Drosophila melanogaster: one gene and its partner. Changing the gene in region 2 together with the main gene of any one other region gives a genetic interaction. Each region holds a gene or a part of one and is shown on either strand. Other genes may lie near its edges. The genes, in order: gzl and Syb.

Region 1 (7,944 bases), on a different chromosome or scaffold from region 2:
AATTGAAAGAAATAATTATTGTGCATACATTACTTCAAATACAGTAAGAAATAAGGTAAGTGGACATTGATCTGTCGGTTAGTCAATGTTCCAAATATGTTGCCAATTTTCTGTTAGGTTTACGATGTTACCGTTAGCCTTTTAACCACGAAATTGAAAAAGCAGTTTTCGTCCGATTTTGTCGCATATCCGAAAAGTATGCTTTAAATATGATATCTTTTTTATACCAATTCCTCGTGGAGTAAAATGTTATACTAAATTCGTAAAGGCCACAATTTTGAAGTCTTGAGATTTTGTTGATATCATTCTATCGATAGCCAAAAACTGTCACACCCTATTGTTCTATAAATATTTTGAATTTATACTATTTTAACACAGTTTGGAAGAAGTATTTATTTTTTGAATCAATTTAAAAATGTTATGCAAATTTCCAGCGAGATTCCATAAGAATTTTGAATTGATCCCCCGCACCCACAATAGCTAAGTAAGAGGTATCTGATAGTCGATGATACCGTTCCGTTTTCCCTTTGTTTTCGTTTTGAAATAAACTGACAGACTACGTGTCCTGGATCCTATTTAGTTTCTATTTACAAAAAAATAAAAGATAAAATATACCACAGCCAAGAACTTTTAATTTAATAAGAAACAGCGATTGATTAGCTTAGGTCCATTACGTTTATTTTGTTGAAAGTAAATTAAATTTAGGTTACACTGCCACAGCATTTTTAAATATATATATTTGCATCTATGCCCTAATTGATTTCGTTTTTATGGGAACAGCATTTTTGTTGCATAATTAATTATTTTTGGGAAAAAATAATCACAAATGTGTGTGAGTGTGGCATCGGTTTTGACTTGAAATATAATTTGATCATATTTTAAAGACTCTGCTCTTCAAAGAAAAGATGAGTTGACAATCTATTGCATCAATGGATTTCAGTTTCATATGCTACACAGTAAACTTAAAATTAGTTAAAACGAGAATAATGTACAATATACAGGCCAGTGCCTCTCAATCATTTGATTTAATTGTTTTCATTGTAATAGTATTGAAAAGCAGTTCTCAAAAACATCGAAATAAAAAGACGATCTTAGCTAAAACGTAACTATGTTCGTGATTCAGTTTAATAGGTGTGCTGAGTGTTGCTTTAATATTTTGTTTTTTTTTTTATTTTGTAGAACAACTGAATCAAAGATTCATGCGAATCAGGTAAACAATTTAATCTTAGATGTGGTAACTTGGTATTTTTTCTCTTCCATCTATCGTTTACATTTTTGGTTGGGAGTTTGCCGGCGAGGCTGTATTTCGTTTGCCAATTATTGGGTTAATTGTAAAATGTATATAAAATAAATCACAATTTCTATACGCACATAAATGACGCGTGTGTGTGTATCGTGTCTGTGTGGATTTTTGTGGGTGGGTGCCCTGGAAGTGGGACAGCGCACAGTCCAACACAAGGTTCGGCTACATATTTATTAATATTAATAATAAACATATGTTAATTGTTTAAAACAAAGAAGCTGGCAGCCACAGCGCTGATCGCGAACCCAAACGAAAAACTCGTACCCAGGCTGGGCTCATGTCTCATCTCTCAAGGATCGACGACCACCTACAACCTACAGGCTAAGGACTCGCGGCGAACTAGCTCGCCTCATATGAGAAACTGGCGATCGGATGCGCTGTGCGGCAGGGCGGCCACGCCTATGCCGCCTTGCGTGGGCGTTTGCAGAAACGCCGAATCGTCGACTGTTGCTGAGTCAGCTGCAGGCGTGCTGATTGCTATCGGTTCGTAGATCGAACGATGCGGTGGCATATCGTCTTCGTCCTTAAAGGAGCCGCTTAAATTCGGATTGAGGATGTTGTTCGATGCGGGCGAGGCTACAGCAATTGTCCCCGTCACCGGCAGACCCATGGCACTGGTACCGGACTCAACGCGCTCCAGATAGGGTGGCGCCGCCACACTAATAACAGCTGGCTGCCGGCGGAAGAACGAGCTAAAAGCAGTAAAAACAGGAAGTTATGCACCTTCTACCAGTGAGCTTCATCACAAATATATAATTACGCAAAATTTATTCTCGACCAGACCGAGCGACGACTCTCAGTTAACTGTTCGGCTAGGTGGGCCGGTAGATTCGGAGCACGATCAAAGGGATTGATGCGTTCATGTGCTCCAGAAGACGTGGCCGGGCGCACAGTAGAGGCCAGCAGAGCTGTACAAGTAATAGGGTGTGTTATTTAAAAAAATCAAAAAAAATATTTCGGCAGCAGACGTACCGTTCTCATCGTCAGAGCTTTGGGACTCCTCGAACGGATTTCGACCGGCGTGACCACGGCGGAAGGTTCCATGTCGCGTGGTTCCAGCGACAGCCGCCGCCGCAACGCTTGAGCTGCTCCCAGCTGCTCCACCAGCCGAAGAAGCCGAGCTCACTTGACCCACCTGCCTACCATTGGACTGCTGTTGCTGCAGCAGCGGCGTTGTGTCGTCATCCGTATCCGTGACATTATCCAAAGAAGGCTGTCGACTCCGACTTGCACGCGCTTCGCCCTTCGTAAAAACCTTGCGCTTACAAATGGGACACACCCGACGGTTTTCGGTAAGCCATGGATCAATGCAGTGCGTGTGATAGGCTGAAAGTAATAACGAATTAATATGTTGTCTTTGCATTAAAGAATTTTCTGGCGATGTCATATTAGTTTAAGCATTTGTATATGATATATTCTGAAACTACTAAAGCTGAGCAAATAACCAAGACTGTATCCCTTACGATGTGAGCAGGGCAGCACGCGAAGCTTATCGTCCTCTATGAAGTCCTCCAGACAGATCACACAGGTGTCGTACTTGTTGTTTGCGTTGTTCTTGGTATATCGGAGCACTGGCAATTTCTTCAGCATGCTCTTTGGCAGTCGATGGCGACGCAAGCGGCGCTGCTCGCGGATGCACTTGTAGATCATATAGATAACCTGTTCGGCAATCAAAGCAATTCAGTTGTGTAAAACAGCGTTAAAACTCCAGATTTCTTACCATTATGATGAAGCACATACCGATCAGAATGGAAAACGGCAATATTAACTGTGTATTGATATTGAAGGGCAGCTCATCGTTGATGATTAGCACCACCTCGGTCGTAAAGTAAGTGGCCAGCGCTTTACCCGTCGTGTGGCCCACGAAAACCGAGGGTATTCTTATACCCGTTATGTTTTCGGCGGACATTTGCTCTGTAATTGAATATGGGTTTAAACAAATCATATTTAGACCTGAGCACCTATGTGTAATCACTTACCCAAGTCATCGCCTTCATTATTGTAAACAATCACAGCAGAATAACTCGCATTCTGGGCCACTCGTATCTTACGCTCAAAGACGCATTCGCCACTACAAAAGATTTGAGTTAGGTCGAACTGAAGTGTTTATATCTACCACATATAGCTTACCGCGCTACAAGTGCCACAAATTTGGCTGAGGGTGGGTATTTCAGGTGCGGTGGTCTGTCCAGGCTATCACAACCGTAATAAGGGCGCCTAGCGGGAACCACATACACTTTGAGACCATTTGAAGGCAGATTGGGACCGAATTGAGCTGGCAGATCATTGAACTCCTCGATCAACTGTGAGTAAACAATATACGATGGGCGTAATAAGTATTTGCAATTTGTAATAATATTTCTAAAATATTAGCAAGTTAAACTTGTCATTAATTGAACTTGCCTGGCTGGTTGCTTTCCGGTAAACCAGCACGTGGCCCCCGACCAAGGTCGCCTCATGACAGACCAGGCACAAGCCCAACAGGGTGAGTATCTGGCAACTTCTCTTGGACATTCTGTCGCGGAGGACACACGTTCTGGAGATGATCGGGACTTGGTCTGTACTGTTATTGCTCTAGTCCGCTATGTCCAGTGCTGTAGCGATTTGTCTTCAACATCCGCACCATTCGCATGTCTCATCTGTGTCCCACCGCCAGCGATTCTGTGCGCTTGGACTTCGGACTTAAAACAAAAGAAAATGTTTTTTAACATATTATGAATGATTATTTATTTGGGTGCTATAACTATTTATATAAATAATAATAATAATTTTTGCAACTCGAGTATTATCCTGCGTGTAGTCAACCTAGGCGTAAACCTCTCCGCCTACGAGGCCATGGCAACAAAGAGCTCAGCTGATAAGATAAACGGCCAACTGGGGGTATTGTTGATTTGCTTACTCTGAAAAAATTTGCGTTTCTTCAGTCACGCTGCACTTACAGCTGGTTTGTTTGTTGACACAGTCAGGCAGACGACGGTTCGTTCGGGTTTTCGCGAATGCATTAATGGTTACTTCAAACAGAACAGAAAAATCAACGCGTTTCGCTCCTTGGCTGCTATTGTACTCAATTTGCCATCAATTAATTTTATCGCGATCAAATAATAGTGGCCGAGATCTTGGGCGGCAGCTGCTGTAGTCGGAACAAATAGGTTGATGAGTCACGAACACCGCTCCATGCTAAAACCAGAACCCAGACCGCATGCACATTTAACTATTTAGCGTCGACGCACCGTCGGTCCACAGTTGGGGCAGAAAAAGTGGAAAGTTTCTATTCGTACATATATTACAAATTCTGCTAATACACAGCCGAGGGGAGGTGTGCAAATATGTCACAAAATGTTTATTAAAGTTACGATTTGACAAAGAAAACGTCACTGGCATTAGCACATCGGTAGACAATCGGAGCAAAGGCTCCAATGAGAACGTGACTTTGTTTTTATTGGATGGTTAAACAATAAATGGGAGGCCGACATTCGTTGTTCCAATGAGAAATTCAATCTGGGGAGGCGCGTGCGTTTAATAGAATTACGCCCTACGGATTGCCCAACAGTCTTTGCATTCAGGTATGAGTTGGTGATCCTACCATGTAACATTCTATTTCCATTTCATGGCATGTTATAAAGAAACGACTACGGTGTAGAAGGAGTTTGTTTTTAAGATGATTTCAACTAGAATGCTATTCCTTTGACAAACAAGTAGTTCAACAAATTATTAAAATGTTGGTTACTATCGCATATGTTTCTACACAATTTTTTAGCAACTTGGCGATCTTTTGCCAATTAATAGTATGGTCATTTCGCAATTTTCAAAACTTGTATATAATTTTCCTTGCAAAAGCGCTTGCAAAAAAGCTAGAGTAGCTATCTGGATATGTAGAGATACATATGTATTGACTGGATTGTTTTAAACAATCCTGACATACGGATTGAATGTTTAGCGACGAGGAATGCAATTCGCGTTAATTCGCTTTGTTTGGAAGGCCGATATCAATTTACACATTACACAGCGTACGCAGCACCCACCCACCAACACACAAACACGCGCACACACACACACCTTGAACTTTACAAGGCACGAGTGTGGTTTCAAGGTTTTCCTTTTTGGGGGAGGGCATACGCTCACGCAAACACGCATACATACATACATAGGCACTAGGCAGGTGTTTCCTGAATGGTGTACAACGGTGGGTTACAGGTGAAAAGCGGCCTCGATTGGAGGCAGCAGCCCACAAGTTATTGCACTTAAATTTCGTATATTCGCTTTTGTTGTTTTTTTTAGGCGCCTCTGTGTGCGTGCCTGCTACTGTGCTTGTGTGCGTTCAATTAGCACAACAACAAAGCAGCTGAGCGATTTCCTTTTGCTTTCCCGACGCCCATTCGCGTAAATCCACTGGTCACTCACTTGATTAGGGCTTCTCGTGCTCTTAGTTGACCGTTTGGAGCGACTTCTGGCCAGTTCCTGTATCCAATCCTATTTTTTCAGCACTCGCTCGCCTCCTCACTCGTCGCCATCGCACTGGTATTGCGTTGTACTTTGTTTTGCTCCCTTTTGGGGCTCGGACTCCTCGGGTTCCTTTAGTTGGTGGTCGTGGTTCAGCGGGGACAGCGCAGTGGCTGCGAAAAGAGCATGACAGTCGCGATAAGAACGCTTTGGGTTTGGTTCACTTTTCTAATTATCGGATATTAGAATTTACATCCCACCCGAACACAGACACATATACAGGGCTAGAGCTGGAACTAAATCGATGTATAGCTGCTGCTGGCTTCCTGACGGCGATGTTTTCGTACATCGATTACTCCCATATTTCGATAGCTATCGACTAAAATTTTAAAAATATTAAAATCCAGTATTCTCAGCAACTGTTTCAGATCATTGTACAGAATTTAGAATTCTCAACTTCAGAACCTGAAACCATATAGAAATATAATACTAAGATATAGCATTAATAACTAGTTTTTAAGATTCTAGAAGTACAAATACAATGAATTGGTTAAAATCAGTTTCTGTGCAAAATACTACTTGCCTTTTCGAATTAACCAAGAAAATTAACCGATTTTCAGTGGTGCGTTTATATTTTGTGTTGAACAATAATGCATTTGAGTTATGAAACATTAAAATCACATGACTGCGGGCTACTTGATCCAGAGATACATTTTCCCCTGGATGGTGTGCTTGACGGGATTGATCTTCTTCAGGATTTTCGTCATGGTCTCGACCAAACGGTCGCTGGAGACAGGCGTCTTCTTGTTCTTGAACTTGGTGAGCAACTCGGTGGCGGTCAGGGGCTTTCGCTTAAGATACCGACGCACCGCCTCCTCGGTGATGCCGTAGTCCCTAAACAAAATACATGAAATTAGAATTAGGAATTCCAGTATATCACGGCTTTACTCACTCTACTTTGCCGCCAGAGAAGGAAGTGGGCAGCGATGTGCTAATCTCGTTCTTAGGCCTCTTTGCTGGCGTGCTGGTGGGACTGTTGCTTGTGTCCGAAGCGGTGAGATCGCTGGGTAAGCTGTTCATCTTGCGCTTGCTGGCATCCGTCGAGAGCGTTGGAGTGGCCGAGCGAGATTTATTGGCATTGCTGCTGCTGGCGATGACCTTGCTGCTCGCAGCGCTCTCTTTCTCCTTTTCCTTTTCCTTGTCTTTGTCCTTGACGACGACCTTCTTCTTGGGCGGTCCGTTGCTAAGGTCGTCCTCGGAGTCTGTGCTGTCAGAGCTGAAGTCTGTGGACGAGTCACCGCTGCCATTCGACTTGCCCTTCTTGTCGTCCTTTGTGGGTTTCTTCTTCTTTTTGTCCTTGGATACCTCGTCCTTGCCCTTATCCTTCTTTTTTTTCTCGCCGTCGGCATCCTCCTTGTCCGACTCATCAGACTTCTTCTCATCATCCTCCTCTTCATCGGAGGTAAGCAGCTTGCGGAGCGCATCTTCCTCGGCCACGCCTTTCATGTCCTTGTCCACCTTTGCCTCTGGATCTGGTTCGCTAGAATAGGGTATAAGAAATTAGTAGATGTGGTCCAAATTGTATTGCCATTATCAGAATCGTTTGGGGCACATACTCTTCACTGGAGCTGGTGTCGTAGTCCATTTCTCTGCCCTCCTCGTCACCATCGTCCGACTCCTCGAAGGCCTCGTCATCAACATCCCTCTTTTTCTTTTTCTTGTCTGCGCCCTTCTTGCCCTTTCCCTTGGCCTTGCCATCGTCGCTGTCTTCCTGCTCCTTCTTCTTTTTATCCTCCTCGTCCTCCGAATCCGACTCATCCTCGGAATCAATCCATTCATCCATGTCAGTGATCTTGAGCTCCTTGGATTTTTTGGTGGCTGCCTTAATTAGCTTAGCCTCCTCCGGATCCTGCTCCTCTTCCTCATCGCCGCGCAGACGCTTTCGCAACATAAGGGAGAAGTAGTTCATCACCTTTTTGCGCCGACCAAATTCCTGTTCGGCCTCCTCCGCCGACAGCGATTTGTAGCGCTGAATAGGCTGGAAGTTGTACCACTCGGTCAAGGGGTATGCCTCAATGGCGCCGTCTGGTGCATGGGTGAACACATAGAAAGCTGCATTCTCGCCTACGCCGCCCTCGCGGATGCCTTTGAACTTCTTTCCAGTCTTGCCACCCACTTTAAGGATCCATGGCTGTGCCTCT
Region 2 (5,642 bases):
ATCATAGAGTTTCCAACCCTGCTAGTATACACCATTCTCTCGAGCGTGGTAAGCCTCAGGGAAACGAAACGATACACCTACTTTCCCATTTTTAAAATAACGACACAGTATTCCTCCAATTTTGCCCACAGTTTGTCATAGTCTTTGGCGCTTCCATGCGAAAGCCGAACTTCTACCGCCAGGAGTCGACCGGGGACTACATACTGATCGGCCAGCTGTACTACCTCAACTTTTTTGCCCTATATATGGGCTATGTGTGGACGACAGCCTCGTTTATAGAATTGATGGGATGGCGCGCGGACATTCATGATATATTCGTGTACCTGTTCTATCGGAAGAACATCGAATGAGTGGAACGCATGCGTGGACTATCGGAACAGCTGGGACAGAATGTTTATGCGAGACGATTCAGTTCCTGCGGCAATTGGTCAGTGCCTCGATGTCGATGGGGCAAGTTTGTCTGGGTGCCCGCGACTGCTGTCGTCTTGTTTCGATTCGGTTTGCCGGAAAATCGATAACTGTTTCCATGGCACGCGCATCTTAAGCAAAAACGCTGAATGTAAATAAATGGCTCTGTCCGCGAAACGTTTCCATAAAACTTCGGTGGACTTGATGGGTCCGGTTAAAGTGTAGGTGGCATGATGTATTTTCAATTGGATGATATACACGTATATATAATTGTATATAATGCAATACACATTAATGGGACCTCTGGTCTCGGCTACGACACGTAAAAATGTTAAGTTTAACATTAAGATTTAATAATTACATTCTGGTTAAATATATGCTAGACGCAATTTTAGTAAGTTATCCTTTTGATTTTCTTCATCTCCCCTTCTCTCATTGCGCGAAAAGACCAGAAAGGTTTCCGTCCCAGTTGTGTTTGTTTGGTCCTTTTCCATTTCGTATCCATGTGTTTACCTCACTCCCTAGGAGGCCTTTAGTGCGGCGGTGCTTGGGTGATGGCCTTGTTTCCTCCACCACTGCCGCTGTCACTACTAGACGGCCAAACGGACACTAAAAAGGGAAATACGCAGATATTAGAGCTATGTTTATATCAATTCAACGAGATATGAAAAGGATTTCATATCCTATCTCGCATTTAAATGAAATCGCGGTCTTTTTAAGTAAAAGTTCTAACCACCCAGCACATTGTACTGAGCGTTTTGTTGACGAAAGATTTCTTCAGTTATTTATTAATTAACAACTTTTAAAGTCAGATTTTATCTTCCCGCTTACTATCTTACATACCTTTCGATGTCAGCACGGATTTCGTATTGTCATTCTTATTTAATACTTTTTACGCGAGTTTAATTTGAATAAAATCGAAATGACTTTTTAAAATGAAATTTCTCCATAGAACAGAGCCCTAGCCCCAACATTGCACTGTAGATATAACCATTTTTAACTTCTTAATAGCTTTGCTGAAGCTATATACATATGTATGAACTTTATAGTCTACACACGTATGACATGGAGGTTCTAATCTTCGCACACTACAGACTAAACAAATATAACGATAATTAACACTTAGGACAGGCACAAGAACAACAATTACCTTTAGAGCTTTAGAGTTGCTTAGCTTAAGACTTTTATAAAATATAATAAACAATTTAAGGAGTATATAGTAGGAGCCAGTACACGTACACAAACGTGTTAAACGATTAATCTGAACCTTAACTTTGCTGATTGGGAAACGGAATTACATGATTTTTGTTGGCTTTGCTTTTGTTTTTCTGTGAGTGTGTGTTTAATTGTATCAATTGAAAAGCGACACTGCAAGTAAACAGAAATTCACAAGGGGTTGTCATCAGTACGAGTAGGAGTATCTGTTATTGGATTAGTTAGCTGCAAGCCACATGGACAAGTTGTTAGGACCGAAACCACAGGTTGAGCAAGATTAGGGCGTTTGCAGGGCGTCGACTTGCGTTATAGATATAACAATACCAAACCAAACCAGCCACCTAGCTACACTACTGATCTTTAGCCTGATCGAGAAAAACCGCAACCAGAAAGAAGCACCAGCAAGAGGCAAAAAGCCGAAGCGGTATAAAATCGGTTAGCTTACCCAGAACGATGATGAGCAGCACAACGGCTATCACGCCCAGAATGATCATCATCTTCATGTTGGCCCACCATTGCTTGCGCTTCAGCTTGCCGGCCTGCTGCTCGAACTGGGATGCTCCCTGCTCCAGCTGATCCGCACGCTCGCCCAGTTCCGATAGCTTCTGGTCCCGCTCCAGGACCTTCTCCACGTTCACACGCATAATCCCGACCACCTCGTCCACCTTGGCTTGGGTCTGCTGCAGCTTCTTCTGGGCTGCATTGTTGTTCCTGATTTGATGGTCACCGAATTGATTGTAGTTGTCATTCGCGTTCGGCGGTGGCGGAAGTATGGGAAAACTGTACAATATTATGTGTGTTTGTGGGGGTTGCTTACACTTATTAAGAGCAGCAGATGGATCATCAAGCTGCAACGCACAAAAGCACGAGTCTTGGTATATCATGCCATCGTTATCTATGCCAATTCACCTTTCACGTTTTAATAATGGGACTTGTGTCCTATAAATACTTTCTTTCTTCTTAAATTCGGATAGACTAATAAAACTTCACAATCTCAAGTGCTGTTGAAATTCCATTGACAAAAAAAAATATAAAATGAGTAATATTCATTTGTTTTTCATAGATGTTAAATGAAACATACTTAAGTATGTTCAGTTACCATTTGCGATAAAGTGATTAATAAGCAAATTCTGTTTCTGATTATAAGCTACTTGCAAATGTTTTACAATTTAGAATCGAATATAATTAATACTTTTTTGTTATTCGAGTTAATTTGCCATTTCACATTAATATTCCATCTAAGATAGCAACTGACTTTACAATATCTCAACTTAACTGAATGCTTTTAATGACCCTAATTGATTTCAAACTACAACTGAAGCTACCGCTTGGGCAGCAGCATGACGTTTACGGTATTCCAATGTCCGAAAGTGAAGTCCGAAGACTTTACTTCCGGTTCGCTGTGGCCCATATGACTCAGGTGACGTCACTGTATGGGATTTTCCTTGCTTTTGTGCGCTGAGCCTGTTGATTCGATGGATTTCCACCACTTACTCGTTGTTGTTGGATCCCGAGGGGGAGGGGGCTTCGTTGTTCTCCATTGTGAATTTGCTGCGGAAAGAAAGCGAAGCAGAGAAAGGCCTTTATTGGATGTCTGGTTCTTTAAATGGGGAGAATGCATGTTCCATCACACACACACACCCGAAATTGTTTAGATTACAGGGCCGAAAAGAAAAGAAAACAAAACGCAGCACACGCCTTATCTATTCGGCCTATGAATCACTCGATTTATAGGAATGCCATCACCTTTGCTCGAAAAAAGAACTTGTTGCATGCCGCACTGCCAACAAACGCTGTTTACATGGGTGGAACGCCACCCCCAACCACCCACCACCCCCGAGCACTCACCTTGACAATGTGCCTGTAGAATACTGCTGTGTATTTCGGGTTTTCCACGGAAAACTGCGGCTGCTTTTTAAATAGCACTATTTTTTTTTATAGAAATATCAGCTTGTGATCAGTGTGACCGTTGAACTATTAGAGCTGGAACCAAGCCCGATACCTTATCGATACTATCGATGTTTCCTGAAAACCCCTTGCAAATATAAAAAGATAATACTTATCTAGCTTATAAAAAACATGAATTGGTATATTTAGTATGTGTATCGGCGCACAAATTATTGTTAACAAGCACTTGCATTCCATTTTTCTTTAGTTCCTTGCAGATGATGTTTGATTTCAAATCAATGTCTTATATTATTGTATCTTATTTTATTACTTAAATTACCAGTGCCGCAAGCCAAAATGAAATTTTTGTTTGCTCTTAACTGATTTATCTTTAATACTTTTACAAAAGATCAGCGAAAATTATTAATAACGCACTGTTGCCTAAATAGCAGAGACAAAAACCAATAAACTGTTCTACCGAGCCATGTACATGTATAATATGTAATAAAAATGTAGAATTCCACAGCAATGTATAAAATTTGTGATAATTCGTTACTAGTTTTTTTTACAGTCTCAAATGTGTGTTTGCATTTTACTATTGCACTTAGATAACTAATTATTTTATTATTTTCAATAGGTTGAAAATTTTGTAAGAAACTATGGAAAATGCATAACTCCCTGGTGACCAAGTTGCTGCTGCGGCTTTTGCTGCTCTTCGCCTTGTTGACCGGCGCCTCCATTGTGGTGCTCACAAAGTGCGGATTCGATGAACTGACGACGAGGGAAACTCAAGCCAATAATCCGAGTGAATCCAGCGGATTCAGTTACACCTTAAGCGAACGAGAGGCGGAAATTGAGCGGCTGAAACAGGAAGTCCTGGCTCTCCGCACTCAAATCCTCTTTCTACAGAATAATCGCAGCACTGCCAAGCCATCAAATGGCAGTCTTCAATTGCAAGAAACCACCGCGGGGCCACCAACTGCACCACTGGGTCACCATTACGACTGCAGCAGCTATATTCGCAAGCAGGTGGGCGCCGCAGAAATTCTGCATGGACTGCCGCTGAACAACGAGTACGAGCTGATACCCTACAATCACTTCACCTTCACGCGAGTATATCCCATCGACTTGGGCCTGGGAAAGCGCGTGGTGGAGAAGCCCATCGGTTATCGACGACGTGACCTCATCGAGGCGGTAAACAAGGCGCTGGAGAGCCTGAACAGGAATCACTCAGCGAGAATACGAGCCAAGGGAGCTGGTTCTGCAGCGGCTTACGCCTCGGATGTGATCAAATACACCCTGGATGACTTTATCGAGGGCATATACCGCAACGAACCCACCACAGGCACCCAGTACGAGCTGTACTTCCAGAGTGTCAAGCACCAGGCGAGTCCAGTGCGGAGAGCCCTGGTCATGCGACCATTTGCTCCTCTGCAAACGGTGCAGCTATCGGAGCTATCTTCCAGTGTGGATAATAGTGGTGCCCCTCCAAGTCATAGTCCGCCCATAATCCACGTGATACTACCGCTGGCTGGACGTCTGCACAGCTTTCGCGGCTTCCTGCAGATGTTCGCCAAGCTAGAGGATCGTCGCCTGGAGCTTATTGTGGTGTACTTTGGAACCAGTGGATTGGAGCAAGCTAGGAGCCTGGCTGGACGATCCCAAAGGACTCAGTTTTTGGCACTCAATGAGACTTTCAGTAGGGGTAAGCACGGGTTTCGTTTATTAATATTACATTTGTTTCGTTCATAATACATATGCAAGTTTATAATGCATTACAAATAATATTGGTAGTTAATAATAGCCATTTTGCTTATAGCCAAAGCTTTAAGACTGGGAGCGGAGCACATTCAACCCGCTGAGGAGGACGTGCTGCTCTTCATGTGCGACGTGGACATTATGTTCACGACCAAGTTCCTGGAGCGTTGTCGCTGGAATGCAGCGCCTGGAAAGAAGGTAAATATATCTGCTATTATTTAAATTACTAATACATTAACATCTATTTTCAACGCTTAGGTCTACTACCCCGTCGTATTTAGCCTGTACAATCCGCATGTGGTGTACTCACTGCAGGGCAAGCCCTTGCCCAGCGAAGAGGAGCAACTGGTGATATCGAGGGACACCGGTTTCTG

What was found.
Region 1: of Syb (region 2) and gzl, changing one suppresses a phenotype caused by changing the other (phenotypic suppression), as found in Drosophila melanogaster (one study listed by BioGRID).

What each region holds. Positions count from the first base shown.
Region 1 is NT_033777.3:6,381,021-6,388,964, reverse strand, and holds gzl (godzilla E3 ubiquitin protein ligase), read right to left. Parts: upstream 6,052-7,944; 5' UTR 5,444-6,051; intron 4,631-5,443; exon of another isoform or gene 4,243-4,630; intron 3,985-4,242; 5' UTR 3,818-3,984; coding exon 3,707-3,817; intron 3,607-3,706; coding exon 3,434-3,606; intron 3,375-3,433; coding exon 3,283-3,374; intron 3,218-3,282; coding exon 3,024-3,217; intron 2,963-3,023; coding exon 2,767-2,962; intron 2,630-2,766; coding exon 2,276-2,629; intron 2,212-2,275; coding exon 2,064-2,211; intron 1,996-2,063; coding exon 1,653-1,995; 3' UTR 661-1,652; downstream 1-660. Other genes in the region: TfIIFalpha (transcription factor IIFalpha), read right to left, coding at 6,436-6,637, 6,696-7,283, 7,360-7,944. UniProt on the Drosophila melanogaster protein: Endosomal E3 ubiquitin-protein ligase that regulates the recycling endosome pathway by mediating ubiquitination of Synaptobrevin (Syb).
Region 2 is NT_033778.4:10,248,811-10,254,452, forward strand, and holds Syb (synaptobrevin), read right to left. Parts: upstream 3,608-5,642; 5' UTR 3,472-3,607; intron 3,363-3,471; exon of another isoform or gene 3,265-3,362; intron 3,175-3,264; 5' UTR 3,165-3,174; coding exon 3,118-3,164; intron 2,404-3,117; coding exon 2,069-2,403; intron 1,777-2,068; coding exon of another isoform or gene 1,760-1,776; exon of another isoform or gene 1,559-1,759; intron 1,018-1,558; coding exon 941-1,017; 3' UTR 625-940; downstream 1-624. Other genes in the region: CG12914 (uncharacterized protein), read left to right, coding at 1-48, 132-350; Csgalnact (chondroitin sulfate N-acetylgalactosaminyltransferase), read left to right, coding at 4,177-5,215, 5,330-5,466, 5,527-5,642. UniProt on the Drosophila melanogaster protein: Involved in the targeting and/or fusion of transport vesicles to their target membrane.